Linked DNA regions of Arabidopsis thaliana. The protein of the gene in region 1 interacts with the protein of each later gene in a pairwise test. Each region holds a gene or a part of one and is shown in the gene's direction. Other genes may lie near its edges. The genes, in order: CBL1, SIP1, CIPK5 and CIPK9.

Region 1 (8,086 bases):
TCCATGTGACCATGATGAGAGTTATTACAGTCGGATTTCAAGGTTCCATCATATCTGAGAGATGACTTGATTAATAAATCAATCTGAAAGGTAGATTAAAAAAAGCAATGAGCAGAGGAGAAACGCATCAAGAGCAGAATATTTACAAATACCAGAGAGATTAACTGACCTGGTTACTCCATGCTGCTTCTACAAGATGAGTGCCGTACTCCTCAAGCATCTCATACAAGAGCAGAAAAGCTTGCCATCCCTGCTGACTAGTCAACCCAGAGTCGACAGAGCCATACAATTCTCCGACGCCAAGCGACTTGGCTTCCTTTTCTGCCCACGTCTCCTTTCTTGTCATAGACCGATTAACTGAATTCCCTTCGGGCTTCTTCTCAGAAATGGTCTCACTCACTTCAATAATGGATAAAACTGATTTAAGTATATGCAATGACTGCTTCCTTACTAAGCTCTCATCAACAACCTGAAAAGAAATGTTTTGTACTCATGGATGACCCTATTGTGGAAATTGGAGAATCTGTAAGAATAGCGGTATTTTTGCCATACCAAGCCTATCTTGATTTCATCCCAAAACTCTTGTTCAGACCTCAAGTCAAATTGAACAGCGTCTTTTTCTGAAACAAAACTTTCAGTTCCGTCAGTCCAAGAGCCAGAAGAAAGACACAAAGACAGAACACTGTAAGCATCCCTTCTCTCTATTGATCCAACCGAGAACAGCTTCTTGCAGCATTCCCAAATTCTTTTTATGAAGCCATTCCTGGAGTTTACAGCTTTAAAAATCATTAAAGAGATCAAAGAAAAAAACTAACCAAAAAGCACATAAATTTTTGGTTCTTAACCTCACCTTGAAAGTATGAACAGATTTCCTTGGTGTGAGATCTTCAAGGATGACTGAGAAGAGAATGCCTTGAAAATAGCAGGGAGGAGGAAACTAACAGCACAAGAACGATGTTCTACACTTTGTGACAAAAGCCGCTCAGTCGTATTACACAAATCCCAAAGCATACCAGCTGCAAAACTTTCCACCTTCGGAGCTGCTTGGTGACTTTGAAAAGCAGCATTCAGAATCAAATTCAGAAGATGGCACGACAATGGAATTGGAAATGATCCAGACAACTGTGCAATGTAGTTTTCATCCATATCTATTGTATTCAAAGAATCACGGAGGCAGAGGTCGCCCCATTTGATGAAATCTGATTCTTCGTGTTGACGCATTCCCATCGAAAAACCAACTGATCTTAGTAAAAATGGCACCAAGCTCACTCCCAACATATCCAATACATTAGTCTCGATCACTACATCAAAGAACGATTCTACAATCTGGTACAATCAAACAAAGAAACCAAAAGAAACAACAAAATGATCAACAATCTCAAGGAGATCAAAACTCTAAGGACTATAGTCAACAGCAGAAATTTCTACCTTATTAAGCATATCCAAATCATATGCACGAACCATCTTCATCAATGGAATAAACACTCTCCACACAAATAGCTGCAACGCATTATGATTATCCGCAGCAACAAAGCCTGCTTCAACCTCATAACCATCAATTAAACAATTCTGTAATCACTAACACATCATACATATCTAAAAATTCAAAATTGGTAACTCACCAAAATTCTTTAGTAGATGACAAAGCCCAGCCACCAATGAAGCTATGTGGTTGCAATCATCAGAATCAAATCTCTTGTCCCCATTTACCGTATCCTATTCAAAAACATGTTCAAATCTTAAATTGAACAATCCGAAGCAAATTGCCGAAGTGTGAAACAATAAACCAATCAATCAATACCTCTAAACGAAAAGGGAATTGCTCAATGAGAGATTCGAAAAGAGTTGAAGGAGATACGCCTGTGGAGCTTAAAACACAGTCAAGGAAAGCAGGAATAGCTGCTGGTGGAACTTGCTTGAAGCTCAGTGACAATGAAGTAATCACTGACGAACCCATTTCAATTGAAGCTTCGAACTTCAAAAAAATTGGCTGCAAGCAGCCAGAATAGATGAAGAAACGTAAACGAATTTGAAATTAGTACAGAGGGAAGTGTTACGAGGAATCTCTCTGTTAAACCCTTTCAAATAATTTTCATGGCTTAGGACAGATAAACCCTAGTCGTATAATTAGGGGGGAAATTAGAATTATTGATAAGGGCTTTCTTGGGCTTAACTTAGTATGATTGGGCCGTATGGGATAGACTTCAGGAGAAGAAAAAAAAAAAAAAACCGGAAATTGTTCGGGGGATTGAACCCGACGTGAATCGAACACGCAACCTTCTGATCTGGAGTCAGACGCGCTACCATTGCGCCACGGATCCGGATGTTATTATGTTGCATTTATAAAATTATAATACCGTAGTATACGCAAATTAAACAAAACATTTTGAGGACGCGTTCCCAACACGGCCGGTGACCAAAGAGTCAATTTAAGCCCGCTTTAAAGATATCAAAATGATATAAAACTCTAATTGATCGAGTTAACGGCAGGAGAATCAAAGCTACTAATCATAATCAAGAAATTTAATATATATACGCTATTATTATTGTTTTGAACGATAAACACGTGGTCTGGTCGTGATTAAGGTCCTAATTATGTCAACGTTTGCCTGCCACATTGCAGACCGAAGTACTAATTCCACACCGACTGGTCTACGACATATTTAATTCATAAACACAATACTTTATAATTAAATTGATTCTTGTAGAGATTTGGCTTCATGATCTGATTTATTTAGTTAATAACCATTTCAACAGATAATTACAGTTTAGAGCCTTTTTCCAGTTGTCAAGAGTGTTATGGTTTTAAAATGGCACCCTGTAAATATCACATATGTTAGTGGATTTATTTTACCAAAGAAACAAAAAATGTTAATGGATTAAAAAACTTGTGTTTTTTTAGATAGCAAAACCAAAAGAAGATATGGTGACCACTAACACGATCAGTCGAAGACAAATGTTTCCCAGACTTTATTATTGGCGTTTCCATTTTGCATATTAGTCAAATTATGGAGCATCGCAAATATCTAATAAACTAACTATATAAAAAGTTATTATAATACAGGGTTACCAATTCCGTATATTCAGAATATTCCTAAGAGGTGCCATTTTGACTAATAAAATGGACGGATCTTTGATTTATTCCGGAAGTGAATGGATATTAGAAGAAACAAAAGAAATTTTGAATTTCTTGTCCAAAAAATATTTTTCCCATTCTTAGTATACAGAAACATAGAAAATATCGTGTATGCTTACGTAACAATCAAGTTGTAAAAAGAAAAAAAGACAGAAGATAAATAGTACAGAATGAACATAACAGAAATCAATCTATGGAATTAGGTACAATTAGGTTCGGTCTAACTGAAATTACATGACGACAGAAAAAACTGAACTAAACGCCGATTCTATTAACTTCCAAAACTGACTCGTCTCACACGCGCTTACTATGATTCACACGTGCGAATATGCCATCATATAAGCGCTACTAAAATTCATTCCAAAGGAAAAAGAAAAATAAATAATCGATCTCAACCGTCCGATCATCCATCTTGCCATCACCGTTCACCAATCTTCTTCGTCTCCTCTCTCTTTCTCTCTTTTTGCTGTTTCTAGCTCCTCTCTCTCTGGATCTCGCCGGCGAACCGTTTCTCTTGGGTGGTGAGTGTTGCTTCTTATTTTTAAGAATCTTTTTCTTTTATTTCCATCGAATTTCGTTTTTTTGAGTTTGATTTTTGGCCTGTGGAATTCTCGATGTTTCTACATTGATCGTCTGGTTTCGAATCGTGTTTTACTGGTACAATTTTGATTCCATCTCCGTATCTTATGGATTCGAAGAACTTTGTGTTTTTTTTTTCTTTCTTCATTGATGCTACTTTGCTAGGGTTTACACTTTTTTCTTCCATGGTAAAAAAATTTGAGCAAAGTTGTTGAGATTCTTCTAGACTGTTTTCAATTTTACGTTTCACAAAGATTTTTTTAGATGATTTGTTTCTAATGAAATGGCATTGTTTGTGTTCTGTTTCCATATGTGTAGATTTTGAAAATATGTTTGTGATGATTGTGCAGTAAACAGTAGCAATCAAGCTATAGAATCTCAGATATCGCTGAATTAGCTGTTGGATTTTATCCGCCTTTTCTTCGTTATCCGGGGCTCGGGTATAAGGTTTCATCGTCTTATTTCATCTGTAAATGGGCTGCTTCCACTCAAAGGCAGCAAAAGAATTTCGAGGACACGAAGACCCTGTTAAGCTTGCCTCTGAGACAGCTTGTAAGTTTACTCGCGCTATAAGTTTAAACCTCCTCTAGATTCATTTCTCTCAAAGCTGCATGTTCATTTGTTTTCTGATATGAGATGAGAATCATCAGTTAGATTCAAATCATTCTTTCTCTGTTCACTGATTTAGTTTATCTCCGGTTTGGATTTTTTTAGTTTTGTGTTTTGGAGTCTTTGTCTGCCTAACAATTTCTAGTAATGATCCTTCAAAGTTGGTTAACACTCTATCTCATGTTTCTTGTTACCAATACCATCACCTTAATCTTGTTCCTTAACTTGTCAAGACGAGTTCTCTCTCCATGCAAATTCTAAATGTGAATTATTAGTCTCTTTGTTTGTTTGTTTGTTTGTTCCTGGTAATTCTTTGTTTTGATCTCGTAGTGTTGCTTGTTTTTTTCTCTTTTCCAGTTAGTGTGAGTGAGGTTGAAGCATTATTTGAGCTATTCAAGAGCATAAGCAGTTCGGTTGTTGATGATGGTCTGATTAACAAGGTACAAAGTTTGTTTCTTTTGACCCAATTTGGATCTTTTCATGACCCCATCGTTGTATCTTTTTGTTCTTTACGCTATTCATCTACAGTATTTTTCAACTTAGTTGACTTTATTTGAGCAATAATTATTCTTCCATGACGATATGTCTGTTCCATATTGCATCGATTCAATGTATCGTAGCCCTTAATGTTTGACTTGAACTTAACTTATTTTATTGATTGCTTTGATTTTGAATTTTGAAGCCTTCATGGCCCACCTTGTTTATGTTGTTTTTTAATCCTGGCTTCACATGTATGCAGGAGGAGTTTCAACTTGCTTTGTTCAAAAGCCGGAAGAGGGAGAATATATTTGCTAATAGGGTAAAATCTTAATTCTTCAGGCTTTTACAAGATTCATCTTCTGGAAGAGTGATCTAAACCAAGATAATATGTCCATTATCCTAAACAATATTGCTTTTCCGCAGATATTTGATATGTTTGATGTTAAACGAAAAGGAGTCATCGATTTCGGGGACTTTGTAAGATCACTCAATGTTTTCCACCCCAATGCTTCTCTAGAAGACAAAATAGATTGTAAGTTGACATAAGATAGTTTCATATATAGGTGTTTATTGAAGCTTTTGTGAAGAGATTTATTGATTCTGGTCTGCCATTTTTTCTCAGTTACGTTTAGGCTTTACGACATGGACTGCACGGGTTACATTGAACGACAAGAGGTAATACTAACTTGCAAGCTTTGAATACTAGTCATGATAGATCTTTGCCATGTTCTTGAGTATTCATCTTTTACTTAATAACTTTGCAAGAAATCGTTAATGAATGTGATATATTTGCAGGTCAAGCAAATGTTGATCGCGCTTCTCTGCGAATCTGAAATGAAACTGGCTGATGAAACCATAGAGATAATACTCGATAAGGTTTGTTGTTGTCTAAGGCTTTATTTTTCTAGATGGTATACATTTAGAGATGATGTTCTTAATGTGGTTTCCTTCGTCCTTCTCATATATGAACAGACATTTGAAGATGCAGACGTGAATCAAGATGGAAAAATTGATAAATTAGAGTGGAGTGATTTCGTAAACAAAAATCCATCATTGCTTAAGATCATGACTCTTCCATATCTCAGGTATATTACAAATTGCCTTTTATGGAAACCAAAGAAAACTGAAAAATGCCAAATGAAATGTCATATTAACTTGTACATAAACAATGCAGGGATATTACGACAACGTTTCCGAGTTTTGTCTTCCATTCGGAGGTCGATGAGATTGCCACATGAAGAAACAAACTGGTTTAAGACCGAGTAGATTGCCACGAGTTGGAAGAACAAGTCTGAGCTAATCGGTGTAATCAACATCTGTTTGTAAACAGTAGTAGAGCATATTCTCTTGAAATTGTTTGGGTTACTTTTTTCTTCTCACAACAGTTTAAAATTTTGGGTTTTTAGCTTACAAAAAAAAAAAAAGAAGAAGCGCGTAATCACCAATCCTTCACTTCATATAGTTAGGAAATGTTAATGAGTTTGTACATATTACATCATACGTTTGTTGTAATTGTTTTTTTTCAAGTAAAAAAGTAAAGATTTGTTACGTTTACTCGGGGTTCTAATTGTTCCAATGGAATCTTATACTGCAAAAACGTGAATTTGAGATTTTGTTGGGTCCTTAACCGCAAAAGCGAAAGTACGAATGTCCTAGGACCCGACCCGATGAAATTTACAGTCTTGCCACTCTTCTCTTGTTACAGTGTTCCTCTCTTCTCTCTCGATTTCGAAGTTTCCAGCAATTTAGGGTTCTTTCTCGATTGGAGAATTCGTATGTTGTTATCATGTTCTCGTCATTGTTGTGCTTTCTTTGTTAAATTCTAGATTTGGAATCGAAATTCTAGACTAATGTTTAGGAAACGGAACTTAGTTCTAGAATCATTTCGTCGATTCGATAGCGGTAACGTAGAAACCCTAATTTCATGGGTCTTGTGTAGTCGCACCTCAAAGCCGTCTCTGTTCTGTACTAGTGTTAAACCTGCTAGATTAAACTGGGAAGTTTCTTCTCAAGTAATTCTCAAGAAGAAGCTAGAAACAGCTCTTAAAGATCACCGTGTAGATGATGCTTGGGACGTGTTTAAAGATTTCAAACGCCTCTATGGATTTCCAGAGAGTGTAATCATGAACAGATTTGTTACTGTGTTGTCTTACTCGTCTGATGCTGGTTGGCTTTGTAAGGCTAGTGATCTTACTCGTTTGGCTTTGAAGCAAAATCCAGGTATGTTAAGTGGCGATGTGTTAACAAAGTTGTCGTTGTCTCTAGCGAGAGCTCAGATGGTTGAATCTGCTTGTAGTATCCTTCGAATAATGCTGGAGAAGGGATATGTTCTAACCTCAGATGTATTGAGGCTTGTTGTGATGCATATGGTGAAAACAGAGATTGGGACTTGCTTAGCTTCGAATTATTTGGTTCAGGTTTGTGATCGTTTTGTGGAGTTCAATGTGGGGAAAAGAAATAGCAGCCCCGGGAATGTTGTGAAGCCTGATACGGTCTTGTTTAATCTTGTACTTGGTTCTTGTGTGAGATTTGGTTTCTCTCTCAAAGGCCAAGAACTTATCGAGCTAATGGCAAAAGTTGATGTCGTTGCGGATGCGTACTCGATTGTGATCATGTCTTGTATTTATGAAATGAATGGTATGCGGGATGAGTTGAGGAAGTTCAAGGAGCATATTGGTCAGGTACCCCCTCAACTTCTTGGTCACTATCAGCATTTTTTTGATAATTTGTTAAGCCTGGAGTTCAAATTTGATGATATCGGTTCTGCGGGTCGGCTTGCCTTAGATATGTGCAAGAGTAAGGTCTTGGTTTCAGTTGAGAATCTTGGATTTGATTCTGAAAAGCCTCGGGTTTTGCCTGTTGGGTCACACCATATCAGATCTGGGTTAAAGATCCATATTTCACCCAAGCTTTTGCAGAGAGATTCATCTCTCGGAGTGGATACTGAAGCAACATTTGTTAATTATTCCAATTCCAAGCTTGGTATCACAAACAAGACTCTTGCCAAGTTAGTATATGGGTACAAGAGACATGATAATCTCCCTGAGCTATCAAAGCTTTTGTTTTCGCTGGGTGGATCCAGGTTATGTGCTGATGTCATTGATGCTTGTGTTGCTATTGGTTGGTTAGAAGCTGCTCATGATATTCTTGACGACATGAATTCTGCTGGCTATCCCATGGAATTGGCCACATATAGGATGGTCTTGTCAGGTTATTACAAGAGCAAGATGTTGAGGAATGCAGAAGTTCTTCTGAAACAAATGACGAAAGCCGGCCTAATTA
Region 2 (7,602 bases), on another chromosome or scaffold:
ATTCCACAAGTCCTTTCGTATTCTTAGTCTCATCAACTTATCAATATATCATATCCTTAACACATGCTCATGATGAATTTGGTTTTACCCAAAAACCGGTCTAGTTAATCTGATCCGAAATTAATTTGATCCATCCATCACCTTAAGAGAACACATATTAGAAATCCTACACTGAAAACAGAATGAGACCAAGGTAATTTATCAATGGATATGGATCAAACCCACTTACCAGCAATAGGTTTTGATAGGAAACCCTTCAAATTTAGCATGTAAAACTTTAGATCGAACCACTTTGGATTCAAATTAGATGGCACATATTCTACTACTTTAATATCATGTAAAGATTCATTTGCTTTCAAATCAAAACCAATGTGTGGATTGATTAGTTATTTTATTATCACAACTTTGAATTATAATTACTGTCATCTATCTATAACATAAACTAAAATAATAATGTACATTACTATATATGTTTATTATATAGTATATCGCAAATCTTGATATGGTTATGGATATATCAAGTTTAATAATGTATGCTCACCTTAAAACGTATATACTCCCGACGAATAATGAACATTAGAGTTTTAATTTGTATAATAAGATATGCTTGGTAGAAAACAAAAAAGGGAAATGTGCTGAAAAAAGGGAAATGTAAACATGCATGAATATGGTAAAGGTGGCGTAATTAAGGAGTAAGGACCCAGTAATATAGTGGATATTCGAGAAAAACTTTTCTACGTGAACAAAAATAACCTACGTGTAAGTTATCCTCTCTATAAAGCCCTCATCAAGTCTCTGAGTCCTTCAACGACTCATAACTCATAGCTATATCTTGTCTTAAAAAGAAGAAGCAAAGAGAATTAGTGGAGTACGATAAGCAGAGAAGTATGTTAAAGGTGGTGTTGTTGATGATGATAATGATGTTGGCGTCACAGTCCGAGGCTCAGCTGAACCGTGACTTTTACAAGGAAAGCTGTCCATCATTGTTCCTTGTCGTGAGACGAGTCGTGAAACGGGCCGTGGCCAGAGAGCCTCGCATGGGTGCTTCTCTCCTTCGTTTGTTCTTCCATGATTGTTTTGTCAATGTAAGGCACTTTTTTTCAATGCAAAAACGAAGCATGCTTTGTATGTTCCCATGAATTACTCCTAAAACTTAGTAAATGCTAAGCATATGATTTGATAGGGGTGTGACGGATCCTTACTGTTGGATGACACACCGTCTTTTTTGGGAGAGAAAACCTCAGGACCCAGCAATAACTCTGTGAGGGGGTTCGAAGTGATCGACAAAATCAAGTTTAAGGTTGAGAAAATGTGCCCGGGCATCGTCTCATGCGCAGACATTCTAGCCATCACTGCTCGGGACTCCGTTCTCCTCGTTAGCACCTCTACCCTTTTACTCTTTGTCATGTCTTACATAGATGCATGTAATAATTGTTGAATGGTTAAGTGGCTTAGTGATTCGGATTCATTTATTTTACCTAGCTAGAACCAGAGTTCGAATCTTCTAGTAATTAATCAATTGTCCCTTTTCAAAACTTAAAAAGAAGGGTAAAATTGTAGTGCAACTTGCATCTTTTTCCTTCTGATTTTCTTGTAAATCATTGATTTTCTAAATCATTCTCACATACATCTAGCCAAAATAGCATAAATCTACCATTACTTTACGAATTCCTAACAAGATACTTTTACATTTTGGTCGATTTTACAGCATATGAACACGGACCAATTTTTGTTTTTTGTTTTTCCCTTTGTTACAAACCCTTCAGCCGACCAACATTTATCTAAATGTTTAACACTTCTTAATATGACTAAACAGCTAGGTGGACCGGGGTGGAGCGTGAAACTTGGAAGAAGAGACTCTACGACGGCGAACTTCGCGGCCGCGAACTCCGGAGTCATCCCTCCTCCGATCACTACCCTTAGCAACCTCATAAACCGTTTCAAAGCACAAGGTTTGTCCACACGTGACATGGTCGCCCTCTCTGGTGCTCACACCATTGGACGAGCCCAATGTGTTACATTCAGAAACCGAATCTACAACGCAAGCAATATCGACACCTCTTTCGCCATCTCTAAACGGAGGAACTGTCCTGCCACCAGTGGCTCCGGAGACAACAAGAAAGCCAATCTTGACGTCCGCTCTCCCGATAGGTTCGACCACGGCTTCTACAAGCAACTTCTGAGCAAAAAAGGTTTGCTTACGTCAGACCAAGTCCTCTTTAATAATGGTCCTACCGACTCGCTCGTCATAGCTTACAGCCACAATCTCAATGCCTTCTACCGCGACTTTGCAAGGGCAATGATTAAGATGGGAGACATCAGCCCCCTCACCGGATCCAATGGTCAGATCCGCCAAAACTGTCGGAGGCCCAACTGAATGATTCTCTTTTATATTATCCCAAGCCCATTGAGCTCAATAATCACCTCTTCGTCAACTGTTTTTTCATGTGCATTCCCCTTCTTCGTCAACTGTTAAAATACATCTTCATTATATAAAAAACAATAAACACGTAAAAGTTTGTGACTATGCAGTTTTCCATTATAAATTACTGTCTATATTCTCTTCTTATTTTTTTTTTTTTTTTTTTCTCTTCTTACTTTGGCTGATTGAAAGAAATAAAACTTTTAAATTTAGTTGAGTAGATGATTTGTTATAAACTCTATGCTACGATTTTTCAAATATTAGTAGATAAAATATCATTAAAAAAAAAAATGGTGAGCAAACTATCATAAAAATATATGATGGCAAAATGTGAGCCGTCGGATGAAAAGTGAATAGGCGAATGAGAGGACAAGTGTAAAAAGTCATAAGGTAGACAAGGACACAGAGGAACAAGTGGCCTCTGCTCTTCTGCCTCAATTAAAAAATTATTTTTATTTTTGATGTGCGTGGACCGCCAATGACGTTTAACTTCGTTTTCATCTCTTCTTCTTCTTCTTCTTCCGTCTTCTCCTCCATTTTTGTTGGTAAACCCAGAAAGAAATAAGGAAGAGAAGGGGCCTTTAGGGGCGGATAGAGAGATCTACACGTCTTTCTACTAGATCTCGGATTCATTCCCAGAATCCTCTTTCCTCACCGGTGATTGTCTTGATCATATATGTTTTGTTTTCTCCTTGCGAATTGTTGATTACATGTTGAAATTTAGGGTTCTCTGATTGCCGATCTATGCTTTTTCTCTTTAATATAGAGGTAATGCGGTAATGGGGGAGAATTATATAACCTGAATGATCGGTTCTGGTTTAGGGCTTTAGTGGTTTGAGAATTTGTGTGTGTGTTTTGATTGATGATTGCGTTTTGACTCGTGATCGATACATATAATTGAGTTTAGATTTGATCGATACACTGATTGTTGTTGGAAGTAGATCTCATTGCTTTGTTTTTTTTTTTACTTGACAGGCTCAATTCTACCAAGTTTCTAAGAGGTTTATTCATATTCGGCATAGAAACTCAGAAATGGTGGAGGATGTGTCCTCCTATCACTAGGGGATTAGCTGCACGAGCTCATGAGGTTATGACTCATGAGCTACCTCCAACTCTGAGCTATCTCTGGATCAAGTAGTTTTTTTTTTTTTGGAGCCTGTTATAAGTTTGTAGATTAGATGGAAAATAAGCCAAGTGTTTTGACTGATAAATATGATGTTGGGAGGTTATTGGGTCAAGGTACTTTTGCCAAGGTGTATTATGGAAGGAGTATTCTTACTAACCAGAGTGTTGCTATCAAGATGATCGATAAGGAAAAGGTTATGAAAGTTGGGCTTATCGAACAGATCAAGAGAGAGATCTCTGTTATGAGGATTGCTAGACACCCTAACGTTGTGGAGCTATATGAGGTCATGGCAACAAAAACGAGGATCTACTTTGTTATGGAGTATTGTAAAGGTGGAGAGCTTTTCAACAAGGTTGCCAAAGGGAAATTGAGAGATGATGTTGCTTGGAAATACTTTTATCAGCTTATCAACGCAGTTGATTTTTGCCACAGCCGAGAGGTGTATCATCGTGACATAAAGCCGGAGAACCTATTGCTAGATGATAATGAGAATCTCAAGGTATCTGATTTCGGGTTAAGCGCCCTTGCTGACTGCAAGAGACAAGATGGCCTCCTCCACACTACTTGTGGTACACCTGCATATGTTGCTCCAGAAGTGATCAATCGAAAAGGCTATGATGGCACAAAAGCAGATATTTGGTCTTGTGGTGTGGTTTTGTTTGTCCTATTGGCAGGCTATCTACCTTTCCATGACTCCAATCTGATGGAGATGTACAGGAAGATAGGAAAAGCAGATTTTAAGGCACCAAGCTGGTTTGCTCCAGAAGTACGGAGGCTGTTGTGTAAGATGCTAGACCCTAACCCTGAAACTAGAATCACCATCGCAAGAATCAGGGAGAGTTCTTGGTTCAGAAAAGGTTTACATATGAAACAGAAAAAGATGGAGAAACGAGTCAAAGAGATAAACTCTGTGGAAGCTGGTACTGCAGGTACAAATGAGAACGGAGCAGGTCCAAGTGAGAATGGAGCAGGTCCAAGTGAAAACGGAGACAGGGTCACGGAGGAAAACCATACAGACGAACCTACAAATTTGAACGCTTTTGATTTAATTGCCTTGTCTGCTGGGTTTGATCTGGCAGGACTGTTTGGAGATGATAACAAGAGAGAATCTAGATTCACATCACAGAAACCTGCTTCAGTGATCATATCTAAGCTGGAGGAAGTAGCACAGCGATTGAAACTGAGCATAAGAAAGCGAGAAGCAGGTTTGTTCAAATTGGAACGATTAAAAGAAGGAAGAAAAGGGATTCTGTCGATGGATGCAGAAATATTTCAAGTGACGCCAAACTTTCATTTAGTGGAAGTGAAGAAATCAAATGGAGATACTCTCGAGTATCAGAAATTAGTAGCAGAGGATCTTAGACCTGCTCTGTCAGATATTGTATGGGTTTGGCAGGGTGAGAAAGATGAGCTTACTTCACAGCAAGAGACAGAATACCAACAACAACAACAACAAGAACAACAAGAACAGGAAGAACCATTGAAGTTTTGAAATTTGTTCTTGTCAAGTTTTTGGAATTTTGCTTAACACTGAATCACTGATGTTAATCGTATATGAGTTTCTTACATTTTTAATTTGTGGAAAAAAGGAATCCATCATAATATAAAGAAGTCGTTTAAAGAAATTCTCAATGGCAAGACTTTTGAATTGAGAACTTCAATTGCTTACTCTACAGCATTACAGGAAGAACAAGAATCTAAGCCATATCCTCCACTCTCTTTGAAACTGGGATAAAGGCTTCGACTTTATTGAGATTTAGTAGTGAAGACAAGATCTATAGTATATAGTACAGAGACAATATGTAAATTTGGTGCCGTCGATTGCAGTTCAATTAAACAGTTACAGACAATAGAGAGACAGATAGAGAGTAACAAAACTCAAGAAGAGCGTTTGGCATTTGAACAGAGATTGTTCCAGAGATAGCGACCACTTGCCATGTCAACGCATGTCCAAAATCCAGACTTCATTGCCATTCCCACCTGAGCCCATAAAATCAGAAAAACCCATTAATCCCCAAATTACAGAGAGAGAATGAAGATCGGAGGAAAAAGAAGAAACCTTGGAGAATCCAGAGACTGAATCGTCGTCGGCGTGTTCAGCGTCGGTGAAGGAATCATCGAGAGGATCGTCAGAGGTAGAGTTGAGCTTCTGGAGGACGAAGAAGCCAGCGAGAGTCGCTGAAAGGAATATGAGGATAAGCCTTAACGGACACATCTGCTTCTTCTTCTCTTTTCTTGATTTGCTTTTTCCAGTTTTTGATGAAGACAATCAGGAAAGAGAGAGATAGAGGAGCTGATGAAGAAGAAGAGAGAGAGATGAGGAGGGAAAAAAAAGGGTAAATAACAAAAAAAAAAAAAAAAAAAAAAAGGTAAAGAAGAGAAAAATTCAAAGGGTGGAGTTGTTGAAGAAGTGTCAAATTAGGTAGGCCATTCCCTAAAGTCACCTCGAATTTTCAATTTCATATACCTAATAACCTTATATGTCCTATTTTATATTTGAAGTTCACTTTTTTTTTTCTTTCTTTCTGGTTAACAAATTATATTCTGACAGAATAATTTGGCCTACTATAATTTTTTGTTGACTAAAATAAAAAATAAAAAAGTTAGTGGTTTGGGCAAACCTAATCTGTCAGAACGTGAGAAAAACATTTTATGCTCATTTGCTCAAGTGATGGCTTTGACAAATAAAAAGATAATAAACAAACAAAAACATAAGTGATTGTTGACAGTTTTCACTAACTTAGTCGGATCATCATCGTCACACCATTCTTCTTTATCTCAACATTTTGACTTCTTCCTTATCCTTTATTTTGCCATAAAGAAAAGACGAGCCAAATAATTCTTTATAAGAATCTGAATCTTGATTGATCATTATTACATACTATGGAAAGGGGTAAGAGACAATCCTGACCTTGGTTTTGAGGATTGCTTTGAGAACCTAAAACTTTGCAAACCTAGCAATTTTAGCAAGGGCAGTTCTTAAACTTCCTATACCTGCTCCTGATCTTGAGCTCACCATCATCTGCAATCATTTAACGTTAACCACTTGCTTCTTAGGTTTCATCTTTTACTGCAGCCACAGAGGGAAGTAAACAACAAACTAGGTGAATCATATTCATACATACCAGAGGCTGGACAATTGATCTGTTTGCCTTCAACTTCTGCATTTTTTAAAGAAAAATAATTGTTGACATTAGTAAGAACATGACCAACATATTATTTTTATACATTGCCTTCACTATATTCATTTAGAGTATAATGAGTAAGACCTCTTCGATTTGCATTGCTCGACGTGCCACATCAATTGGGAAAACCACATCCGTCTTGGTTAAGACTATCTGATACTTTGTATTCGATCTGCAATTCAGTTTACGGCTTTAAGGAAACTTCATTACATGACCTAAAAAAAAATTAAGAGCAGTATCAATTATTTTACCTCTCCATCAGATTAATCAGTTCCTGGTCTCTTGGCTTCATACCCCATTTGGTGTCAACAAGGAGGCATACCCGTTTAAGACTGGTTCTTGTCGAGACATATTCCTTTACCTGCATTGATCAAAGTTAAACAGATGGGGAACATTAACCTGTTTAGTAATACACGAAACTGGGCAAGCAATTTAGACATAATCATTCTCTAGCCAGGGGTAGATGCTCACAAGATCTTCCCATGCTTCCTTAACTTCATCTTTTGCAAAGGCAAAGCCGTAGCCTGGCAAATCAACAAGGCGAACCTTCGGACCAAGACCAAAGAAATTGATGGTCTGCACTTCATAAACCCTTTGTTATTACAAAAACATGTACGCCATACAAGCAAGTAGTTCTCAGACAGGGGAATACCTGGGTCAGTCCTGGTTTGTCAGATGTTCTTACAACACCCCACTGTCTGGTAAGAGCATTTAGCAGAGACGATTTGCCAACATTTGACCTTCCTGATCAGAGTTAAGACACCAAATATCCCAACTTTTTAATATAGTTTAGTGTTATTAAAGTAGTTTAACATGCATATTCTAAAACTCAGAAAAAGTTTTTTTTTGTTGATATTTCTATAATCCTG
Region 3 (7,126 bases), on another chromosome or scaffold:
CCAGTTTTCTTGGTCAGAGAGGTAAGTTTCTTGGGGTTGCAACTTTCATGTTATCTGAGTGCAATTTTCCATTCTAGTAGAAAAAGCGGTTTATAAAATTTGAAATTCAATACGGTATCGACTTTCTGTGAACATTTTATTACCAAATTTCAGGTGAATATATTGCAAGTGGAAGCGATGACGGTCGGTGGTTTATATGGGAGAAACAGACTGGAAGGCTTATGAAAGTGCTCGTTGGCGATGAATCAGGTGATCTTTTTTCCTTTCACATTTTATCCATTACATAAGTATCTTTTTTTTTCATTGAATTTCGAGTTGGCTAAAAGAATCATCTTTCGTCTCTAGTTTTGAACTGCATTCAATGCCATCCGTTTGATAGTGTTGTAGCAACGAGTGGAATTGATAACACAATAAAGGTAAGCAGGCACACAAAGCTGTCTTCAGGGTTTGGTTTTCATTTCGTGTAAGATCTCTAAAACTAACATTTGCATGTAAAAATATGTGTACAGATATGGAGCCCAACCGCATCAGTCCCATCAATTGTAGCAGGAGGATCAGCTGGACCAGCAACCGCCAATGTAGTGGAAGTAATGGAGAGTAATCAACAGAAGCTAAGCCGCAATCGAGAGAATCCTCTGTAAGTTTTCTGGGATAGGTGGTTTGAGTTAATATAAAAGCTCCAAGGCGGTTTCAGAGTACACAAAATGGGTTTGATGATTTGGTACATTGATGATTCATTTGCAGGTCTGTGGAGCTAATGCAAAGGTTTAGGATGCAAGAATTTGCAGAAGGAAACTTTCACCCATTTGAATGTACTCAGAGCTAAAGCAGGAGGGAACTGTAGAGGTATAATAAGCTTGCTTTGTGAAGGTGATGGTGGAATAACAATGGTTTTGAATATGAATAATGAATAATAAGGTTTGATTAGGTTTCATATGTAGCAAAAGCTTTCTCTCTGTAAAACTCATGCATAGCTTCCTTCTAAAAGCTTTTTTTGTTGTTGTTGTTGTTGTTGTACAGTTTGATATTGGCTTCTTCTTTTGAATGTGAATATTCATCGTTATTTTACATTGTTTTTTCATTTCTGTCGCGTTTAGTAGACAGCATAAGGCTGTATGTGTTATGTGTCCAATCTCGTTATTTTAATATAGACTTGTGGAGGAAGCTCTAACCACTTTGCTGCTTTAATTAATCTTGTCTAGTGTAAACTTTTTTACCTATTTATATATTGCTGCTGGGGGCACTTGCCTCCACAAGCCATAACGTGGGTCTGCCCCTGACTTTAGTATGTATTTGGACAAGGTATGCTTCTATTTGGACTAATCCCGCATACGTGTTTTTTTGTATACAATTATTAGTTATATTTTTATGGTGTTATTAATGGTTAGTAAAGTAGTCTAATTCCTGATCAGTAGACTAGATCCTAAAACATTCCTTGGTGGAACACAATAGATCTCCCTACTTTGAAGATAGTGACATGACATCCCTAAATAACGATTAGCTAGCCGTGCATTAAGTTTTGGCTAATAATCTTTTATCTTTTGATGATAAAAATGGAATTGAGCTATATGATTTAGAAACAAATTAATATTGTAAATGATTTTGAATTTTTGTTTTTAAAAAAAAATGGATATGTTAATTAGAATTTTCATGGTCTACTCACCAGAAACTTGATTTGTATGCTAGTTTATGAAATGATTTTAAAATAATTTAAATTTTTTATACGAAAGGTTGGGTGGAACCACCACATAAGATAAGGGGGACAAAAAGCATTAGACCGTTGGAGAGAATTATTGACATTATTTTAAGGAAGTTCTGTCAATAATTGATTACCTATTCCTTTTTCTCCGACGATATTTATTCGTGAAAAAGTAAAATTTAATAGAATTATAGAAAATCATAGCATTCAAACAGCATAATCTTATTTGATGATAACATAATCTAAAGTTTAGGTTATGTTATTTACACATACTGTGTTATATTTACCTATTTAAATTGCCTATTTCCTTTGACGTTGATTATTATTTTGACACTGTTTTATTTTCTTCTAGAAATTGGTGTATTGTAAAATAATAGAAAATTTTAAGTGTTACGTTATACAAAAATGATTTAACATTATAAGGTAATAGAGAATATTAAAAAAAAAAAAAACATACATATGACCCCCAAAGTCTTAGAAATAATTGTTAGCATCTAGTTTTGTCCAAGTAATTAACAAATTAAGAAAGGAAAAAACACAAGAGACATTGTTCTGAATGTTGTTCTTAAGAATAAAATCTAGCAAACAATATGCCGTGTGTAGAAATATAGAAGGTTATACAAAATTCTTTATGTACAACACTATAACAAAACAAAAACAAAATCTAGTACCCATAATTTTTTTAACTGCAAACAATATGTTTTAAATGATGACCATTTTTTTTTTTTTTTTTTTTTTGTAAAAAAAACTTATTTTCCATATAAAAAACAAATTCCAAAGAAAAAGTAAAGTTATTGCAGTGTGACATGTGTGACTTTGTGAGTGGCTTATCACCTTGTCTATAAATTCAAAGAGTGTTCAGTATATAATAAGAGGACACCACGTAGCTGCGTTTGTGATTCATTTGCACACTTCTTCTTCTTCTTCCTCATTTCTCTTCCTCTCCCATATTCCATGGAATTGCTCTACTTCTTCACCTATGAGAGTAATATATCCTCATGTACTCAAAATACTAATCAAACTTCATGCTTCAACACCACCTTTTCTTAATCCTCCTTCTTCATCTTCTTCTTCCACTATTTCATTTTCCCTAGTCGGTGTAAATATCAAATGGAGGAAGAACGGCGAGTTCTGTTCGGAAAGTACGAGATGGGAAGGTTATTAGGCAAAGGAACCTTCGCCAAAGTCTATTACGGCAAAGAGATCATCGGCGGCGAGTGCGTCGCAATCAAAGTCATCAACAAGGATCAAGTAATGAAGAGACCTGGAATGATGGAACAAATCAAACGCGAGATTTCAATCATGAAGCTCGTTCGTCATCCCAACATAGTTGAATTGAAAGAAGTCATGGCTACGAAGACCAAGATCTTCTTCGTCATGGAGTTCGTTAAAGGCGGCGAGCTTTTCTGCAAAATCTCTAAAGGTAAGTTACACGAAGACGCTGCTCGTAGATATTTCCAGCAATTGATCTCAGCCGTTGATTATTGCCATAGTAGAGGCGTTTCTCATCGCGATCTGAAACCTGAGAATCTTCTTTTAGATGAGAATGGAGATTTGAAAATCTCCGATTTCGGATTATCTGCGTTACCGGAACAGATTCTTCAAGACGGATTGCTTCATACGCAGTGTGGAACTCCGGCGTATGTTGCGCCGGAGGTATTAAAGAAGAAAGGATACGACGGCGCGAAAGCTGATATCTGGTCGTGCGGCGTCGTTTTGTATGTTCTTCTCGCCGGATGTTTGCCGTTTCAAGATGAGAATCTGATGAATATGTATCGGAAGATTTTCAGAGCGGATTTTGAATTTCCGCCGTGGTTTTCTCCGGAAGCGAGGAGGTTGATTTCGAAACTCCTCGTTGTAGATCCAGATCGACGGATCTCGATTCCGGCGATTATGAGAACGCCTTGGCTCCGGAAAAACTTCACTCCGCCGTTAGCTTTCAAAATCGACGAACCGATTTGTTCTCAAAGCAGCAAAAACAACGAAGAAGAAGAAGAAGACGGAGATTGTGAAAATCAAACAGAGCCGATATCGCCGAAATTCTTCAACGCTTTCGAATTCATATCCTCGATGTCTTCCGGATTTGACTTATCGAGCTTGTTCGAGAGCAAGAGGAAAGTGCAATCGGTGTTTACGTCACGGTCGTCGGCGACGGAGGTAATGGAGAAGATAGAAACGGTTACGAAGGAGATGAACATGAAAGTGAAGAGAACGAAGGATTTTAAAGTGAAGATGGAAGGGAAAACGGAAGGGAGAAAAGGACGGTTGTCGATGACGGCGGAAGTGTTTGAAGTAGCGCCGGAGATATCGGTGGTGGAGTTTTGCAAATCGGCGGGAGATACTTTGGAGTACGATAGGTTATACGAAGAAGAAGTACGGCCGGCGTTAAACGACATCGTCTGGTCATGGCACGGTGATAATAATAACACTTCTTCCGAGGATTGTTGAATCAGTAGTTTTTGGTTCTGATTTAACCGGTTATCGGTTAACGTAGTATAACTAAGAACTGTTACATTGAACCCAAATTTTCTTTGGTTTAATAAAATTTTGGTTTTACTTCTTTTTCTTTGGTAAGGATTTTGATTTTGCTTCTAATTGAACCTAATTGTGTTGTTTTTAGGTACAAATGAATAAATAATTTGGGTTCAGATTAAATTAATCGACAATTAAGGGTATGTTAAGTCGAAAACGAAAATGACTATGAGTCGGGTTGTGGTTTAGAAGACCGACACGTGTGGTTTCTCAGAGACTTCGAAAAGATTCACCTTCTGTTATGAAGTCAAATCATTTGAATTTTGAAGTTCAAATAGTTAGTGGAGAGGACAAAGTCACAACAAATTAATTTATTTATGGGATCCGACGACTTTTTTTCATTAGTTTTCTTCTACATGTCCAACTTTGAATTGTAGCTGGGCATGATCGTAAGATAGAAGATTAGATGTGATTGATGGGATGAAGATAATGCTAATCTGAATTTTCTGCATAAATGAGTATGTTTATGTGTATTCAGTCTATCAAAATTACCCATTTCATACCATATGTTTACTATCATATTTTGTAATTTTTTTAGAAGCATAATAATGTAATAACCTAAAGAACAAAAAATATCGACTACATCATGCAAGAAGTTTCGAAGAAACCCAATCCTGTAAGAATTAATGGCGTATAAGTTATACTAAGTGAAAGAAAAATCCCCCAAAAAGTTAAAATGGATACAGACAAAAACAAGGATTAAAAGATAACAAGAGTAATGAGGTTCACCAGTAAACTCAATCCATTAAGAAAGAAATGGAGCTTTCACCATAATTAATATCCGACCAATAATCTAAAAAAAGGATCAATCAGTGGCTAACATGGGATTTTAGGACAAGGGTTGTGTCACAGTCAGAAAGTGACTCCACCAACATCAAATGGATAGTATTAAATCGAGTGTTTTTTGTTAAGATTAGATTTAACTATTTTAGGAGAAGAGAAACACCAATGAGGTTATTACTGGTACGTATTTGTGTCACTTTATGTTTGGTCATAATAAAATGGAGGATGACATTTTGTTTGGAACATAAAAAGGATATTGTAAGTTGTAACAGATGTTGCACCTCCTAAGGAAGAGGGTGTGTCATGTCATGTGTGGTCCTCCCCCATGTTCAAAAAAAATCACATCCAAATGCAATCCACTAGTTTTTGTTGTTGTATTTCTGAACAATAATTGGGTTTGAAAAAGAAGAAAACAAAAATTCAAAAAACTCAAATGAAAATTGAAGTCTGCATTGACAAAGTATTCTTGAAATTTAAAGACATGTTCAAATCACAACCTAACTCCAATGCACTTCCCTTGATCCAACTTCTTAAGCTTTGGGCAAATATCCACAAGTTTGGAGTTAATCTTCTTCTCATTGTAGAATATAAAAAGATTGATATTGTAGAGAGCATTGAAATGAGAAGAATACCAAACTCTTCCACATTATCTCGATTTCAAATATTACAAAACTTATTTTGTTTGTGGGTCTTCTCAAACCGCTGCAACATGTTGCTTGAAATCTTCCTGGTATTAACGACAAAAATCCTCAATAAATATGAAAATTACACAAACGTCATCAAATCTTTTGCTAATGGTTTGGTCCGGATCAGGTGGAAGTAATGTTGAGCTTGTTGACCCAGTAGCCAAGTTGCTCAGCAACACAGTTTGATCCTGTTGACCCATAGGAACTGAACTTATTGACTGAATTTTCAACCCCCAAAAATCCAAACACATCTTCTTCAAACACAGGGCTCAGCTTTTTCATCTCTTCAAGACTTAAGTTCTGAAGTTCACAGCCTTTTGAGACGCAAACTCCAACTAGTTTTCCAACTATGTCATGAGATGACCTAAAAGGCATCCCCTGGGAAATCAAAAAACCAAAACAGTATTTATCTTTCTGACTTCAGTTACAAAAATGGAAGATATGATAAATAAAAACCACATTACCTTCTTCACAAGATAATCAGCGAGAGTAGTCGCATCAAGATGTCCTGCGGGAAGACTTTTCTTGATTCTGTCTTCGTTGAATGTAACATTCTGAGCAAATTCTGCAGATACATCGATCATTCCCATTATTGTCTTGGTACTATCGAACATCGGCTCTTTGTCTTCTTGAAAATCTCTGTTGTAAGCAAGGGGAAGTCCTTTGCACAGTGTTAAGACAGTGACCAGATCGCCTATGACTCTTGCGGATTTTCCTCTGACAAGTTCCATTGGGTCTGGATTTTTCTTCTGTGGCATTATACTACTTCCGGTTGACACAGAATCACTTGGAGTCATGAACCCAAACTCCTCGGAAGCCCACAGTACCCACTCTTCTCCAAGCCGTGATAAATGAATACCGGTGTTGGCATTTGTATATAAGAACTCCAGCACGAAGTCTCGGTCTGAGACTGCATCGATACTAGTTGAAACAGAGGAGAAAAGAGTTAATAAATGAGAAACCATAAAACAAAAGAGAAAGACATATAATTAGAGAGAGTTGATGCAACCAATATAAGAACTAGGAACATACCTGTTTCTCATTGGTTCGGTAAATCCAAGAGCATTTGCAGTCATAAACCTATCAATAGGCAGACCAGTTCCAGCCAAAGCACAAGCTCCCAGGGGGGAGAAATTTAGCCTTGCTCGACAGTCCACATAACGACCAGCATCACGTTCGAGCTGCCATACATGAACCAAAATACCAGCTAAGAAAGTAAAATCCTAAGTAAATGTAAGAACCCTACAATGTTCTGAGGCAGGAAAAGGAGGACATAGTATCTAAAAGATGAACCTCATAAAGCAAATTAGAGTGCTGCTCAATTTTATAACATAACCAGAAACTAAACAAAACGATGTAACAGAAAACCAAAAATTAAACAAAGTAGAAATTCCAAACCTGCTCTACAAAAGTTAAGAGAACGTGT
Region 4 (8,487 bases), on another chromosome or scaffold:
CTTTTATAGAATTATCTTGATTTGGTTGAGGTCGAGATTGACATCATCATCGTCGTCGCAGAGATCGGAGATCAAAATGGAGAGGGAAAGAAACGCAGGAGTGATGAAGAAGATGAGTCCAACAGGAACCATCCAAAGATTAGAATTTGTGGGATGGTATTTGTAAAGCCAATAACTTAGAAACAATCCTCCACATATATTCACAATCATCGAATACAAGAACACCATTGACGACGTACTCTTCTTCTCCTTCCTTGTCCTCTTCTTCATATTCGTGTTCATGCTGCTTTCGTGGTTCATTTGCAAGAGGATCTAAACAAGTTATGATTCGCCTTTTTATTAATTAATTTACTGGGAGTTAGGTGAAGTGAAAGAAAAGATGGATGACAATAATAGATTCTATATTGTTAGAGTGTATGAGTAAGTAAGTATATATGCAGTCGGGTTCCGGTTCGTGTAGGTCGGTTTAGAAAGTATATTTCAATTAAACTCGGTTTTTAGTCGTTTTTCTAACGAAATGTGTTTGGTTTTTAGAGATTATTTATGAGCAAAACTGAGTTTGTGTTTGGGTTTTAGATAGGGTACCTAAAACTCGATTAAACATTTAGACCAGTTTCCAGCTGGTCCGACTCCGATTTAGGTTGGTCAATGTATGAAAGGCAAATCTAAACATAAGACACATTTTATGTTATGTATTACTAAATTACTACAAAAAAAACTCCTACAACTCCAAAATACACAATGGTTTAGATTTAGATATACATGTTTTTAGAACTAAAATTATTGAGGTATTTTATAATAGTACTCCAAGTTATAATTTCTGTTACGAGGCGAGAATAAACGTGGGAGAGGAAGGAAAAAAAGGTGCCGTGCGGTGCAACTAGATTTTACATATTTGTACACATATTTCACGATTGAATCTTTCAAGACATTATATGCTTTATCAAATTTTATATATATAACAATTAGATAAGAAACACAATCTGACCCGACTCTACTATTTATAATTATACGTATGAATCTCTAACTTCGTTACTAAAACGGCAAATACTAAACCCTGAAAGGAAACTGTGTGAGAAACAGTTAGGCCCCTTGACCATCTTTGTTCAACGTTGTCAACGAAAAAAAAATGGAACCATAAAGGATAATTAATTGTATCACAAAAAGACAAACACAAATTATTGAATATACCATCACTTATCAGTATATAATTTTATACAAATGCTTTAAATAACAAATATTATGTAGAAAAAGAGAAAAGAAACTTAACTTGGTCAATTTGATCATTTGTGTAAACGATGATGCGGAACATATGCGATAATAATGTTATTGGATGGCAAAAAAAAAAAAAAGTATTTTAGTTGGGCCCTAATGTTAATTCACAATCAAGCCTAAATTTGGTTAATGGGCCAATCTTTCTTATATATGTAGGACTCGGATGTTCGGTCTACTCGAACTATCTACAAACCAAGCTAAACCGAAAGTAAATACAAAATCAAACCAAATAATAGTTTGGTTTATATAGGTTTTAAATTTTAATCCATATAATCCAATAAGTTCCAACTCATAACCAGGAAAATAAAAAAAATGTGGAATGAAGAAGTTCAAATTGATAACCAAATGAATTGCTTTCATATGATGGTGACGTGATGTTTTTGTACCGGACTCAATTATTGGAACGAGTGGTTCATTGTGCATTATTTGCATTTTCTTTTGTTCGTAATATACTAACATATCTAAAAAATTATTGTATCATTATTACTAGTCATGCAATAAATCATCAACTCACACTGTCTGCCACACTTTTTTAATTTTTCTGCGTATTTTGGCATTATCATATGAAAGAAAATAAGAGAAACAAATAAAGGAAAGAAGAAAAATAAAAACATTATCACATTCTGTGAAATCTCTGAGTTTATCAGGAAGGATATGTGGGGTTCATATTCATACCGTTCCCTTTACTCACATCGTCACATGGAAAGATCAACTATTTCAATTATCTATTTATTTATTATCATATACTTTAAATAATCAAATTTAGAACCGTTACAAACAAAAATAAACAGCTACATCAAATTTAAACAAAAGTAAGTATATGCGAATATTATCATAGATTTAAACAAAATTTGACCAAGATATAACAATCATCATTTAACTACCAACATTTGATATATGTATTTATTGTTCTTAGGTAGTTTCCAACTTCTAACTAAAGACAAAAAAAAAAGTTATATTTAGAGAATATTTCTACATGAAAAGAATACAACTATATCAAATAATATGATAACAGTCAACTTTGAACATCAGTAGAATGGAATGAATCACTGAAAGATATACTCATATACACATAAAGATTAAGGACATCAAATCACATCCCTTACAAATAAAACCATATCCACATAAATTTAAAACCCCAAAATTTTCATAAAATCCATATACTTAAACAGGAGTTTCTGTATATAGTTACCACACAAGAACAAAATTATGGAATTTTTTTATATGAATGAAGAATGAACGTTACGAACGTACACAAGTACAAATAACACGGGACTGACGCGGAACAGAGCAAAATAATGATTTTTGACATTACGTGGCATACGGGACCCACAATACGCGCGTGACTCCCAGTCGCGCCTATTAAATCTCTCGCTCGTCCACTTTCTCTCGTCAGCCTTAAAACCAGGCAGCCACTAGAAGAAGGAGAGATATTGAGGGAGAAGAATCACATTGATAGATTCGCCGCCGATCTAGAGCCGTTGATTTTCTTAATCGGAAAAAGAAAATGAGTGGAAGCAGAAGGAAGGCGACGCCGGCGAGTAGGACGCGAGTAGGGAATTACGAGATGGGACGAACTCTCGGAGAAGGAAGCTTCGCTAAGGTGAAATACGCCAAGAACACCGTCACCGGAGATCAAGCCGCTATCAAAATCCTCGACCGAGAAAAGGTCTTCCGTCACAAAATGGTCGAACAGGTTCGTTAATTGTGTTTGGTTTGATCACGTAAAATGATTATGGATTTGTTTGTTTTTAAGTACTATAAAGAACAGTTTAATTTCGTGATTAGGGACCCACATGTCCTCCTAGGTTGGTGTTCGGTTATTAAGGTTAATGTTTGATTAAAGTGTTAACAATAATATTTTAAAATATCGAATTTTGTATGAATGTTTTTGTTTCTGTATATATCTACACGATGCTGATCTTAGTACGCATTGATCAAGATAACTATTAACTATGATATGGATATGGTTTTGAAGTTCGAGTAGCTTTGTTTTTGATTTGGTTCGATTTGAATCTGTTGAAGATTTAGTTTTGTATGCTATATATGTATGATTGGAAGTTATGAGCAAGATCTCGAAGATATAATGATCATAAAGTTTTATTTTTTTGTTGTTGTGCAGCTTAAAAGAGAAATATCTACAATGAAACTGATTAAACATCCAAATGTGGTTGAAATCATTGAGGTACGAAACTAATTAGTTATCATTCCTTAGATATTTTTTAAATTAAGTTTTGAATCTTAGCGTGTAAAACATCTCTCTGTGGTAGGTTATGGCGAGCAAAACGAAGATCTATATCGTTCTTGAGCTTGTCAATGGAGGTGAACTCTTTGATAAAATCGTAAGTAACCTAACTTAGAGAATCTTCCTCTCTTTTCTCTTCACAAATATTGACATATGTTCTCTGTCTTTCTCTCTTCTTACTCTTATGTTAATTCTTGGATTTAAATCATATACATAGGCGCAACAAGGGAGGCTTAAGGAGGATGAAGCTCGGAGATATTTTCAGCAGCTCATCAATGCTGTGGATTACTGCCACAGTCGAGGTGTCTACCACAGAGATCTCAAGGTCTTTCTTTTGTTTTTGTGCACTCTTCTTGTTTCCTGTGATTACGATATTCATTCTTCTTAGTTCTTATTCAAGTTTCTTTTGTTATCATCTGTTCCTTGTTGCAGCCTGAAAATCTGATCCTTGACGCAAATGGGGTTTTGAAAGTCTCTGATTTTGGGTTAAGCGCCTTCTCACGACAAGTTCGGGTAATGCCATTATATTTTTCACTTGGCAATTAATTTCTGATATATATAACCAAGATATCAATTTGAATGAAGTGTTCTAAGCATTGTTCTTTTGAATGCAGGAAGATGGTTTGCTTCATACAGCTTGTGGAACGCCAAACTACGTTGCCCCTGAGGTATTATGTACTAACTTTCAGCACTTAAAAAGGCAAAGAATATGAAATGTTCTGTAGATCCTCTTTGGAAAATAAGATTTTAAGGAATTCAAGAACTGCTAATACGTTTTTAAAAAGGAAGGAAATCTAACAAATGCTATACGTATATATAGACTTCATTTGCAGAATCTTCTTTATTTATGATGTATATAAGAGATATGCCTTTAATGTTGTCTACTGCATTGTGTTGGATTTGCTGGCAGGTTTTGTCGGACAAAGGCTATGACGGTGCAGCAGCAGATGTCTGGTCTTGTGGTGTCATTCTCTTTGTGCTTATGGCTGGTTACTTGCCTTTTGATGAGCCGAATCTCATGACATTATACAAACGTGTACGTGTAAATTATCTCTCCCTCTGCTTCTTGATCTTCTGCAGTACTTTTCTAGTCTCATCTTTGGTGTTTAATATATACTTTAGATATGCAAGGCTGAGTTTAGCTGCCCACCATGGTTCTCGCAAGGTGCCAAGAGAGTCATCAAGCGTATTCTCGAACCCAACCCTATTACCGTAAGTGCCTCTTACATGAAGTAATAGTTGTGAAAATGTGAACATGACATGCTGCCAACCATAGATTGTGCAAGAGCTTAAGTATGTACTTATTTCTGAAATGCAGAGAATAAGTATTGCAGAGTTGCTCGAAGATGAATGGTTCAAGAAAGGGTACAAGCCGCCATCATTTGACCAAGATGACGAGGACATAACCATAGATGATGTTGATGCTGCTTTTAGTAACTCCAAGGTAAACACCGCCATTTCCAAATTCTCCATCTGGTTGTGTATATCATAGTTCGGTTTAAGTAAACCAATGTATTGTTACCAACTAATATCACTCTTTTTGTGCTGCTACTCTAGGAATGTCTTGTAACTGAGAAGAAGGAGAAACCTGTATCCATGAACGCTTTCGAACTTATCTCTAGCTCAAGCGAGTTCAGTCTTGAAAACTTGTTCGAGAAGCAAGCGGTAAGAACTTTTTTCTACTTACAGTTTGTCTTGATTTTCTAAAATCATGCATAGGTTTTATCTAACTAAATCTGATTTGTTGTTGTTTGCAGCAACTTGTGAAGAAAGAAACGCGGTTTACTTCTCAACGATCTGCGAGTGAAATAATGTCGAAAATGGAAGAAACCGCAAAGCCATTAGGCTTTAATGTCCGTAAAGACAACTACAAGGTCTGTTCTTCTTCTTCTTCTTCTTCTTGATTTTGTTTGTGTCAACTAATGTCTTTGTAGCTTCGTTAAACATTGTTTAAGTAAACTTCGCAGATAAAAATGAAAGGAGACAAAAGTGGTCGTAAAGGTCAGCTCTCCGTAGCTACAGAGGTAAGAAAGAAAAAAATACTCCGGTTCAGTTCGGTTTTTGGATTTTGATGAATATCGTTATCTAATTGTTATGGTTTGGTAATCGGTTTAATAGGTGTTTGAAGTGGCGCCATCATTGCATGTGGTAGAGCTTAGGAAAACCGGTGGTGATACCCTCGAGTTTCACAAGGTATGTGATTCGGTTTGATCTTCATCAAAAACCGGTTCGGTTTTGATCCGGTTAACATCTCTAGTTTAGTGTTTAAATTGGTTTTATGTTTGAATCTCTTTTGCAGTTCTACAAAAACTTCTCATCTGGATTAAAGGATGTAGTCTGGAATACTGATGCAGCCGCTGAAGAACAAAAGCAATAAGAAATAACAAGTTGTTCAATTCAAAGTTTTTAATCAATGTTGAACATGTATAATGAATAGTAAACATTCTGGAGTTGGCAATATACAAGTATTGCTGACAAAAGAGCCAAACTAGAACTAGAAGTGGTCTATAGAGGTAGATCACCATAGGTTAGTCAATAGCCACATATGTGATCATCCTCAAACTCGGTTTGAAACCTATAAATCAAAGTTCAAACAATTCAATTAGGCAAAAAATACTCTGCAAGCTGGCTATTTGAGTATAGTTGAAAGTTGCAACGATGTTGTCGCTTTATGGCAACGCGTTACAATGACACAACATATATAACAATTTGGAAAACACAATGATAGAATTATTAAAGAGAGGTTATCTTAGCTACATAGATCTACGTTTGCAACCAAAAAAAAAAAGTTTTATTTTGATGTACAGTCACACATTGATGACGGAGTGGTTTCTAGTGAGGAGTTGGTGTTGAGCAGACCAACGTTAATTGCCCAATAAGTTGTGTGAGTTGTCTAATCTTTCAAATCAAACAGCCCGTAAAGCCCATAAAGTCGCAAATTTCGCATTCCAAAGTTTTTAAGAATGGAGAAACGTTCAGATTCAGAGAGTGTAGAGATTTTGGGTGATTGGGATTCACCTCCTCCGGAAGAAAGAATCGTAATGGTTTCTGTTCCCACTTCACCAGAATCTGATTACGCGAGATCGAATCAACCGAAAGAGATCGAATCTAGGGTTTCAGACAAGGAAACAGCGTCGGCATCCGGAGAAGTGGCTGCGAGGAGGGTGTTGCCGCCGTGGATGGATCCGTCGTATGAATGGGGTGGTGGCAAATGGAAAGTAGACGGAAGAAAGAACAAGAACAAGAAAGAGAAAGAGAAAGAGAAAGAAGAGATTATTCCTTTTAAAGAAATAATTGAAGCTCTCCTTGGAAACTCCGGTGACAAGGTTCAACAAGACAACAAGGTTAATCAAAGTCAGAGCTCTGTTGAGATGTTGAAATCAATGGGCTTTAAGTTTCCTTAATTTGTGGTAATCTTTTGGGGCTTTTCTTGGTTTTAGTTTTTTTGTTTTGTTGTTGCAGAAAGTAGTAGACTAGTAGTAGGTATGCTTTTTCCTCATTATTGAAATTCTGTTTTAATCTGATAATGAAACTAAGAAATCCAAGATTTGCAAGATAAACTTTTGAACGTGAATATATGTCACTAGTGTTTTGGCCAACTCACGGCTTAAATCTCTGAGTAAGATTCTTCGGAGAGAAAAAAAAAAAAAGAATTTTGTAGGTTTAGTGTGAGATATTGTTGGATACAGTAAAAGCTATTGACGTTAGTTTTCGTTTAAGCTGTTTTTTTTTTGTTATGACTTATGATACAACTACAAATTTGAGTCCATACTAGTGTTATATGATAGCGTGTTTTGTTAATATCCTCGATAAAAATGTTATCTGAAAATACAATGTGAGAACGGAACCATTCTTCTTAGAATTATTTCTAAATTTAAGCAAAATAAAGTAATACAGTATTTCTGAAATGCAGAGTATAAGTATTGCAGAGTTACTAGAAGATGAATGGCTTCAATATCAGTAAACACATGTTGTGTTTCTACACTTTCTCTCTATCTCTGTCTTTGTTTCACTCTGTTTTGTTTTTGTTTAGAGACAAACACAAGAACTCGTTTTTACTCTTTAATAAAAGACTACATTCATGATATTGATGATTTCTTACAACACAACACATACATGTACTACTTCTCCTAGTTCTAGGCACTCTTACACAACCCTCCTACTTGTATTGGAACTCTAACAACAACTACTCTAACCTAGACTTGACTTACTTAAACAACACTTTACTTATATGGGACTAACATAGCAATTAGCCCAATTACTTATTACAAGACAACAAGCCCAATATCTTCTTTGACTTGCTCTTCTCATCTTTGCTATGATCTTCTTCTCACTGAAACTTTTCTTCTTATAGAAATTTAATCAAGGATTCATGATTTCAACAAGACAACTACAAGGTTTGTTCTTCTTCTTCTTCTTCTTCTTCTTGATTTCTCTGTGTCAATTAATGTTGTTGTGTCTTTGTTAAACATTGTTTAAGTAAATTTCGCAGACAAAAGTGGTCGTAACTCGTAAAGGTCAGCACTCTGTAGCTACAGAGTTATGAACAAAAACAGATAGGAATGATAACATTCCGGTTTAGTACGGTTTTAGATTTTCATGAATACGGCCGGTACCTGATTATTTTGGTTTGGTTATCGGTTATAATAGGTGTTTGAAGTGGCACCATCGTTGCACGTGGTAGAGCTTAGGAAAACCGGCGATGATACCCTCGAGTTTCACAAGGTATATTTTCGGTTTAATCTTTACCAACCGGTTCAGTTACCTCTAATTTTATTTGTTGTAATTCGGTTTTCTATGCTTAAAAGTTAAATCTCTTTTGCAGTTCTACAAAAACATCTGGATTGGAGGATGTAGTCTGGAATACTGATGCAGCCGTTGAAGAACAAAAGCAAAAAAAAAAAAAAATAGCAAGTTGTTCAATTCAAAGTTTTTAACTAAAGTTGAATGTATAATGAATAGCAAAA

The links.
Region 2: the proteins of CBL1 (region 1) and SIP1 interact in binary tests that used the Arabidopsis thaliana proteins (3 or more experiments, as listed by UniProt).
Region 3: the proteins of CBL1 (region 1) and CIPK5 interact in binary tests that used the Arabidopsis thaliana proteins (3 or more experiments, as listed by UniProt).
Region 4: the proteins of CBL1 (region 1) and CIPK9 interact in a two-hybrid assay, tested with the Arabidopsis thaliana proteins (3 studies listed by BioGRID).

Annotation. Positions count from the first base shown.
Region 1 is NC_003075.7:9,812,954-9,821,039, forward strand, and holds CBL1 (calcineurin B-like protein 1), read left to right. Parts: upstream 1-3,400; 5' UTR 3,401-3,657; exon of another isoform or gene 3,658-3,793; intron 3,794-4,033; exon of another isoform or gene 4,034-4,065; 5' UTR 4,066-4,188; coding exon 4,189-4,267; intron 4,268-4,681; coding exon 4,682-4,764; exon of another isoform or gene 4,765-5,027; coding exon of another isoform or gene 5,028-5,063; coding exon 5,064-5,123; intron 5,124-5,227; coding exon 5,228-5,336; intron 5,337-5,426; coding exon 5,427-5,479; intron 5,480-5,599; coding exon 5,600-5,680; intron 5,681-5,776; coding exon 5,777-6,070; 3' UTR 6,071-6,400; downstream 6,401-8,086. Other genes in the region: AT4G17610 (tRNA/rRNA methyltransferase (SpoU) family protein), read right to left, coding at 1-83, 170-469, 553-763, 851-1,326, 1,429-1,535, 1,623-1,716, 1,802-1,957; AT4G17616 (Pentatricopeptide repeat (PPR) superfamily protein), read left to right, coding at 6,655-8,086. UniProt on the Arabidopsis thaliana protein: Acts as a calcium sensor involved in the signaling pathway during growth and development and in response to abiotic stresses. May function as a positive regulator of salt and drought responses and as a negative regulator of cold response.
Region 2 is NC_003076.8:23,594,530-23,602,131, reverse strand, and holds SIP1 (SOS3-interacting protein 1), read left to right. Parts: upstream 1-2,778; 5' UTR 2,779-3,079; intron 3,080-3,397; 5' UTR 3,398-3,600; coding exon 3,601-5,040; 3' UTR 5,041-5,170; downstream 5,171-7,602. Other genes in the region: AT5G58390 (Peroxidase superfamily protein), read left to right, coding at 888-1,085, 1,184-1,375, 1,817-2,377; AT5G58375 (Methyltransferase-related protein), read right to left, coding at 5,427-5,528, 5,608-5,763; AT5G58370 (P-loop containing nucleoside triphosphate hydrolases superfamily protein), read right to left, coding at 6,487-6,570, 6,674-6,709, 6,818-6,905, 6,985-7,094, 7,205-7,309, 7,386-7,477. UniProt on the Arabidopsis thaliana protein: CIPK serine-threonine protein kinases interact with CBL proteins. Binding of a CBL protein to the regulatory NAF domain of CIPK protein lead to the activation of the kinase in a calcium-dependent manner.
Region 3 is NC_003076.8:3,442,590-3,449,715, reverse strand, and holds CIPK5 (CBL-interacting protein kinase 5), read left to right. Parts: upstream 1-2,437; 5' UTR 2,438-2,809; coding exon 2,810-4,147; 3' UTR 4,148-4,687; downstream 4,688-7,126. Other genes in the region: ASG2 (transducin family protein / WD-40 repeat family protein), read left to right, coding at 1-21, 154-249, 346-416, 510-637, 745-826; AT5G10920 (L-Aspartase-like family protein), read right to left, coding at 5,824-6,078, 6,165-6,621, 6,733-6,881, 7,099-7,126. UniProt on the Arabidopsis thaliana protein: CIPK serine-threonine protein kinases interact with CBL proteins. Binding of a CBL protein to the regulatory NAF domain of CIPK protein lead to the activation of the kinase in a calcium-dependent manner.
Region 4 is NC_003070.9:61,808-70,294, reverse strand, and holds CIPK9 (CBL-interacting protein kinase 9), read left to right. Parts: upstream 1-2,669; 5' UTR 2,670-2,782; coding exon 2,783-2,971; intron 2,972-3,397; coding exon 3,398-3,460; intron 3,461-3,545; coding exon 3,546-3,617; intron 3,618-3,737; coding exon 3,738-3,845; intron 3,846-3,952; coding exon 3,953-4,033; intron 4,034-4,134; coding exon 4,135-4,188; intron 4,189-4,430; coding exon 4,431-4,556; coding exon of another isoform or gene 4,557-4,562; intron 4,563-4,642; coding exon 4,643-4,732; intron 4,733-4,838; coding exon 4,839-4,964; intron 4,965-5,077; coding exon 5,078-5,185; intron 5,186-5,277; coding exon 5,278-5,394; intron 5,395-5,487; coding exon 5,488-5,544; intron 5,545-5,638; coding exon 5,639-5,725; intron 5,726-5,819; coding exon 5,820-5,897; 3' UTR 5,898-6,128; downstream 6,129-8,487. Other genes in the region: AT1G01150 (Homeodomain-like protein with RING/FYVE/PHD-type zinc finger domain-containing protein), read left to right, coding at 10-180; AT1G01130 (CBL-interacting Serine/Threonine-kinase), read left to right, coding at 6,484-6,738, 8,171-8,245, 8,346-8,390. UniProt on the Arabidopsis thaliana protein: CIPK serine-threonine protein kinases interact with CBL proteins. Binding of a CBL protein to the regulatory NAF domain of CIPK protein lead to the activation of the kinase in a calcium-dependent manner. Involved in K(+) homeostasis under low-K(+) stress.